2 linked regions of the Macaca fascicularis genome follow. The protein of the gene in region 2 interacts with the protein of the main gene of each other region in a biochemical or structural test. Links are inferred from orthologs where the notes say so. Each region holds a gene or a part of one and is shown on either strand. Other genes may lie near its edges.

Region 1 (4,266 bases), on a different chromosome or scaffold from region 2:
ACATATGACAAAATAATATCTGCTTCAAAACTTAATATTTTTAAATTTTTTTTTTAATGAGTCAGGCTGTTTTTTTGGGGGGGTGTGTCTCATTCTGTCACTCAGGTTGTCACGGCGCGATCTTGGCTTGCTGCAACCTCTACCTCCCAGGCTCAAGTAATCCTCCCACCTCAGCCTCTCTAGTAACTGGAACTATAGGCATATGCCACAACGCCCAGCTAATTTTTTGTAGAGACTGGATTTCGCCATGTTGCCCAGGCTGGTCTCGAATTGTGAGCTCAAGTGGTCTGCCTGACTAAGTCTCCCAAAGTGCTGAGATTACAGGCATGATGCACCTGGCCCAAAAGTTCATTTTGCAAATGCTTATATTAGCAGGTCTCACTTCTCCGGGGAAAGATCCTAAATATCAGTTTCTTAAACTGCAGCCTCAATTGCTTAGTAATGTTTTGGGGGAGGTGGTCGTTTTATAATTTTAAAAAAAATTATAGATTTTTTAAAACACAAGCGTCTCTTTCACAACGGTAGTTTGCATATACAGTACTAGGATGGGAAGTGCTTCACTTACAGTTGTTCACTGACATTTTGTGTGGCATCCAGATTTTTTTTTTATTTTTGAGACAGGGTCTGTCCTCACCCAGGCTGGAGTGCAGTGGTGTCATCACAGCTTACTGCAACCTCCACCTTCCAGGCTCAAATGATCCTCCCACTTCAACCTCCCCAGTAGTTGGGACTACAGAAATGTGCCACCAGGCCTGGTTAATTTTTAAATTTTTGGTGGAGACAGACTCACTAAGTTGCCCAGACTGGTCTTGAGCTCCTAGGCTCAAGTGATCCTCCCACCTTGGCCTCCCAAAGTGCTGGTATTACAGGCGTGAGCTGCACCACACCCGGCCCAGAACCTCTTTTAAAATATTCTTAAAAATTAAATCTGGGCCGGGCGCGGTGACTCATTCCTACGATCTCAGCACTTTGGGAGGCCAAGGCGGGAGGATCACTTGAGCCCAGGAGTTCACTTGACCAGCCTGGGCAAGATAGTAAGACCCTTTGCCTCCACAAAAAATTAAAAAATTAACTGGGTGTGGTGGCGCATTTCTGTAGTCCCAGGTACTCAAGGGGCTGAAGTTAGAGGATAGCTTGAGCTGGAGAAGTCGAGGCTGCAGTGAGCTATGATGGCACCTGGCCAACAGAGCAAGACCATTTCTCAAAACAGAAACAATAACTGTTTGAGAAACTTTATTTCTTCATCCGAAGACACTGCTGAATGTCACCTACATATAATGCCCGTAAGTTCACTTAAAATACTCCCCTCCGATTCCCCCATCCCCTCCTACTTAGTGTGCAATCAACAGGTTCTTTTCTTCTTCCATTTCTTCCCCCAGCCCCAGACCAAGAATTGGCCCATTAAGTCCTCCTCAACTAGTACCCTTCCTGCCTTTTTCTAGCTATATTGTTTTTGGCGTCCCGGATTTCTTGAAAAATGCTTCCCTCTCCAAGTGGGGCCTTCCTAGTATCTTTGCAGTAGGGCCAGTTGGGGAAAGGCACAAAATTCAAACCCTTTTGTATCTCGCAGAGCTGGAAATCCGAATTTTAAGTGGCCTAGGAAATGGGAATCTGGATTTCTGGGATGCATGAAATATGTAAACTACATAGCTGTTGTCATTGATAAACAATTATAACGCAAAACTACTGCGATTTCATTTTGTGGAACGGGAAATATTCCCTACAAAGGCGCCCGGGAAATCAGACTTCGCTTACTGTTTCCTCAATACTGGAGGAAATCTTTCCTTCTTACTGGAGGTAAGAATTTACAGCATAGGCAAACTGCAGGAGCAAATATCCCTACACGCCCTTTTGTCGCTTAGACTTTTCTGCTCCCCTCCCCCTCATCTCAAGCGGTTAACGGCTAATGACCCCCATAGAAACACTGTACCCTGAATTGCATTACTTGTTTCATTATCCAGAAAGGAAAGTTTCCTGTGCTAGACCAGGGAGGGAGTAGTGACCATATCAAATGAATTACAACTAGTACCCGAAGGCTTACCCAGGGGGAACAAAGAAGTTTGCTAAAGGCAGATGAGAAAGAGCGCCAGCACCCTCCTAACGTTTGTATTTTTAATAGAGACCATGTTGGCCGGGCTAGTCTCGAACTCCTGACGTCAAGTGATCCGCCCGCCTCGGCCTCCCAAAATGCTGGGATTAAAGGCGACAGCCACGGCGCGCTGCCCCAAGTTAACCTTGGCTCTAAAAGTTGCCTTCGCTAACATTCTAGTTGATCCTCTAGAACTGAAGCAGAACAGAGGCAGCACCACCTTAAGAAATTGTGGTTATAGCTCTCTTTGCGACAAAGTAGGTGGCTCTGAAAAGAGCCTTTGGGTTTGGAGGTGCTTACATAAGCACTTACTTGGAGCTAGTGTACTTGGTAACAGCCTTGGTGCCCTCGGACACAGCATGCTTAGCCAGTTCCCCGGGCAGCAGCAGGCGCACAGCCGTCTGGATCTCCCTGGAGGTGATGGTCGAGCGCTTGTTGTAGTGCGCCAGGCGGGAAGCTTCGCCCGCGATGCGCTCGAAGATGTCATTGACAAAGGAGTTCATGATCCCCATGGCCTTGGAGGAGATGCCGGTGTCGGGGTGGACCTGCTTCAGAACCTTGTACACATAGATGGAATAGCTCTCCTTTCGGCTGCGCTTACGCTTCTTACCATCCTTCTTCTGCGCCTTAGTGATGGCCTTCTTAGAGCCCTTTTTAGGGGCAGGAGCAGACTTAGAGGGTTCAGGCATCGCTATTCCTAAAACAAAACAAAAAAGCTACTAACACTCTCCAGCAGAGTAGTAGAGAGAACAGTTCAGAGCCCACGTATTTATAGTCCTGAGATTCAAATGACGGTTTAAGATTCCTCACTTCTGATTGGATAAAAGAAATACAGTTTCACTGAGGGGTGGGGTTTATGCAAATATGGAATTTATGGACTCTTTTTCTATTGGATAAAGCAGGAAACATAATTGACCAATAGGATAACTCTCTATTGCAGCCTTGCAGTTTGTATAAAAGTATTTCTTCAGGCGCCATTCCATCTTGCTTGTTTTTTACAGTTTTCAGAGGTCGCTGTGTTTGGACATGGAAAACGGAAGTAAAGCACAAAGTTGTTCATCGGTACCAGCCTTGCAGTTTCTAGTAGCGCAGGGTCCATCGTCTTTTTCGAAAGGGCAATTATTCTGAGCCTGTCGAAGCCGGCGCGCCGCTGTACTTAGAATACCTGGCCGCCGATATCCTGGAGCTGACACGCAGCGCCATACGTGACAAGACCCATAGCATCCCCCGCCACTTGCAGCTGGCCTTCCGCAACGACGAGCAGCTCAACAAGCTGCTGGGCAAAGTCACTATTACTCAGGGAGGCGTCCTGGCCAATATTCAGGCCGTCCTGTTGCAAAAATAACCGAGAACCACGATAAGGCCAAAAGCAAGTAAAGCCCACTCAAGCCAGAAAACGTACCTTAAACTTGCTACGGCATTTTTCAGAACCGTCCATTGTTTCACAAGAAAGGATGGTAACTTGCTTGTGTTTCGGGTACCTTTTGGTTTTGGTTTGGATTGGTTTGAGACAGAGTTTCGCTCTGTCACCCAAGCTGGAATGCCGCCGCGCGATATCGGCTCACTGCAACCTCCACCCCGCGGCTTCACCAGGTTCTCATGCCTCAGCCTCCTTTGTACCTGGGATTACAGGCGTCTGCTACCACGCCTAGCCAATTTTTGTATTTTTATTCGAGACGGGGTTTTCACCATTTTAGCTAGGGTTGTCTTGAACTCCTGGCCTCAAGTGATCCTCCCATCTTGCCCTCCCAAAATGCTGGGATTACAGGCGTGAGCCACGGCCCCCCTAGCCTAATGGTGTTTAAAAATTAAGTTTCGAGGAAATATCTTCTTTAAGAAACTACATTTTAGAGTATACAAAGTGAAACTAAAGCCAACCAAAATAAGACAGTTTGAGAACAGTCAGGGTGGGAATGTGACTTGGACTTAGAAAACGAAGGATAAGGAAACTGGCTGTTGACCAGTAACAAAATAGCATGGAATTCTCATTCTCTGAATGTAAGTAGTTTCCGACATGAGGCAGTCAACGTTTCTGGTGGTTTAGTGAGTGTTCACCAGCACTGATAACTTTCAAGACTGTCAGGAATGCAGAATTTCAAGTCCCACGCAAACTTACTGAATCGGAATTTACATTAAAAAAATCCGTAGATGCTTTGTTATGTACCTTGTTCTTTGGG
Region 2 (3,645 bases):
AAACAAAAATCACATGATCATCTCAATAGATGCAGAAAAAGCATTTGACAAAATCCAGCATCCTTTTATGATTAAAACCCTCAGCAAAATCAGCATAGAAGGGACATATCTTAAGGTAATAAAAGCCATCTATGACAGTCCCACAGCCAACATTATACTGAACAAGGGAAAGTTGAAAGCATTCCCCCTGAGAACCGGAACAAGACACAGATGCCACTCTCACCACTTCCATTCAACATGGTACTGGAAGTCCTAGCCACAGCAATCAGACAAGAGAAAGAAATAAAAGGCATCCAAATTGGTAATGAGGAAGTCAAACTGTCACTGTTTGCTGATCACATTATCATATACCTAGAGAACCCTAAAGACTCATCCAAAAAGCTGCGAGAACTGGTAAATGCATTCAGCGAAGCTTCAGCATACAAAATTAATGTGCACAAATCAGAGCTCTGCTAAACACCAACAGCAGCCAAACTGAGAATCATATCAAGAACTCAACCGCTTTGACAATAGCTGCAAAAAAAATAAAATAAAATATTTAGGAATATACTTAACCAAGAACGTAAAAGACCTCGACAAGAAAAATTACAAAACACTGCTGAAAGAAATCACAGATGACACAAACAAATGGAAATACATCCCATGCTCATGGATAATAGAATCAATATTGTGAAAATTACCATACTGCCAAAACCAATCTACAAATTAAATGCAATTCCCATCAAAATACCAACATCGTTCTTCAAGGAACTAGAAAAAACAATCCTAAAATGCATATGGAACCAAAAAAGAGCACGTATAGCCAAAGCAAGACTAAGTAAAATGAACAAATCTGGAGGCATCACATTACCTGACTTCAAACTATACTATAAAGAAATAGTCACAGCCAGGCGCAGTGGCTCACACCTGTAATCCCAGCACATTGGGAGGCCGAGGCGAGCAGATCACGAGGTCAGGAGATTGAGACCATCCTGGCTAACACAGCAAAACCCCATCTCTGCTAAAAATACAAAAAATTAGCCGGGCATGGTGGCGGGTGCCTGCAGTCCCAGCTACTCGGGAGGCTGGGGCAGGAGAATGTTGTGAACCCGGGAGGCAGAGCTTGCAGGGAGCCAAAATCGCGCCACTGCACTCCAGTCTGGGCAACAGGGCAAGACTGTCTCAAAAAAACAAAAAACAAAACAAAACAAAAAAACCCACAGTCACAAAAACAGCATGGTACTAGTATAAAAATAGGCATATAAACCAATGAAACAGAATAGAGAACCCAGAAATAAAGCCAAATACATACAGGCAACTGATTTTTGACAAACCAAACAAAAACATAAAGTGGGAAGGGACACCCTATTCAACAAATGGTGGTGTGATAATTGGCAAGCCACATATAGAAGAATGGAACTGGATCCTCATCTCTCACCTTATACAAAAATCAACTCAAGATGGGTCAAAGACTTAAATCTAAGACCTGAAACCATAAAAATTCTAGAAGGCAACATTGGAAAAACCTTTCTAGACACTGGCTCAGGCAAAGACTTCATGACCAAGAACCCAAAAGCAAATGCAACAAAAGAAACAATAAATAGATGAAACTTAATTAAACGAAAAAGCTTCTGCACAGCAAAAGAAATAATCAGCAGAGTAAACAGACAACCCATAGAGTGGCAGAAAAAAATCTATACATCCAACAAAGGACTAACATCCAGTATCTACAAGGAACTCAAACAAATCAGCAAGAACAAAACAAACAATCCCACCAAAAAGTGGCTAAGGATATGAATATACAATTCTCAAAAGAAAATATACAAATGGCCAACAAACATAAGAAAAATGCTCAACATCATTAACTATCAGGGAACTGTACATCAAAACCACAGTGCAATACCACCTCACTTTGCAGGAATGGCCATAATCAAAAAATAATAGGTGTTGGCATGGATATGATGAAAAGGGAACACTTTTACACTATTGGTGGGAATGTAAACTAGTACAACTACTATGGAAAACAGCATGGAGATGCCTTAATGAACTAAAAGTAGATCTACCACTTGATTCAGCAATCCCACTTCCAGGTATCTACCTAGAGGAAAAGTCACACCATGGAATACTACTCAGTCATAAGAAGGAACAAAATAATGCCATTTGCAGCAATATGGATGGAATTGGAGACCAATATTCTAAGTGAAGTAACTCAGGAATGGAAAACCAAACATTGTATGTCCTTACTCGTAAGTAGGAGCTAAGCTATGAGGATGCAAAGGCATGAGAATTATACAATAAACTGTGGGGACTTGGCAGAGGGAGGCAAGGGACAAAAGACTACACATTGGGTACAATGTACACTGCTTGGGTTGTGGGTGCACCAAAATCTTGGTATCACCACTAAAGAACTTACTCATGTAACCAAACACCACCTGTTCCCCAAAACTATGGAAATTTAAAAAAAAAAAAAAAAAGTAAAATCACACATACCTCCTAACCTCACCCACAACTCATCCCAATATCCAGAGGTAATGATTCTAACAGTTACTCATGCAGCCTTCCAGAAATTTTTAAAATACACAGCACAGGCACACAAGTAAACATACACTTTAATGCAAAAAGGGTAACAAAATAAGTCAGTTGATTTTATTTCAGACATGTTTCCATATTAGCAGATCCATATTTGACAGCTACACTGTACTCTTTTGTAGGAATAACAGTAGAGATGTATAATTTACTCACCAATACCCTAATGATGAACATTTAGTTTTCAAATTTTTTTCCATCACAAAAAAATGCCACAATAATCATTCTTTAATTTGTATCGTCATGTAGCAAGCGCCCTATTTCAATAGAATAGAAAGCTCTACTCATCTTAATTACCTGAGTCTTCAGAGTCAAAACCTGGTCTGCCAGCTCCTCCTTCTCTTCTTTAAGCAATTTATGGATCTGATTGGACTTGATACGCTCTGACATGAGCTTGAAATTTGCATCATCCTTCTCCCGCAATTGCTGCATCAAACGGATATTTTGCTCCTGCATGTCTTCAAAGGCCTGGCCTGTGACATCCATCTCAGAGAGGAGTGCTTCTTCTTCCTAAAGGATGGAGGAAGAGATTTCATTTTAGAAGAATCTTCCAACTTCAATGGATGAGCACCGGAAACTAAACTTTCCCACCGTTCACTTACATATAAATTAATTTAGTGACAGAGTTTTAAGAAGCTGTGTTTTGTCATTAGGCATACAAAAGCTCTATTATCTGAAGTCACTGGCACCAATTGTTGGTCTGATACTTATTAGTTGACCTGTATTCAAAGTCAGTTAAAGCAGACAATAATTGTATTTACCTTAATCTAGACAAACAGATCAAGCAGTAATTGGTTAAGAGTATTTCCGGCCGGGCGCGGTGGCTCAAGCCTGTAATCCCAGCACTTTGGGAGGCCGAGACGGGCGGATCACGAGGTCAGGAGATCGAGACCATCCTGGCTAACACAGTGAAACCCCGTCTCTACTAAAAAATACAAAAAAAAAAAACTAGCCGGGCGAGGTGGCGGGCGCCTGTAGTCCCAGCTACTCGGGAGGCTGAGGTAGGAGAATGGCGTAAACCCGGTAGGCGGAGCTTGCAGTGAGCCGAGATCTGGCCACTGCGCTCCAGCCTGGGCAACA

The links.
Region 1: of the proteins of RNF20 (region 2) and histone H2B type 1-B, one has a biochemical effect on the other in vitro, tested with the Homo sapiens proteins (2 studies listed by BioGRID, with this or other methods). The link is inferred for Macaca fascicularis from reciprocal best matches to the Homo sapiens genes RNF20 and H2BC3.

Annotation. Positions count from the first base shown.
Region 1 is NC_088378.1:146,884,672-146,888,937, reverse strand, and holds the start of histone H2B type 1-B, read right to left. Parts: upstream 2,832-4,266; 5' UTR 2,779-2,831; coding exon 2,402-2,778; intron 1-2,401. UniProt on the Homo sapiens protein: Core component of nucleosome. Nucleosomes wrap and compact DNA into chromatin, limiting DNA accessibility to the cellular machineries which require DNA as a template.
Region 2 is NC_088389.1:56,540,840-56,544,484, forward strand, and holds part of RNF20 (E3 ubiquitin-protein ligase BRE1A), read right to left. Parts: intron 3,076-3,645; coding exon 2,863-3,075; intron 1-2,862. UniProt on the Homo sapiens protein: Component of the RNF20/40 E3 ubiquitin-protein ligase complex that mediates monoubiquitination of 'Lys-120' of histone H2B (H2BK120ub1).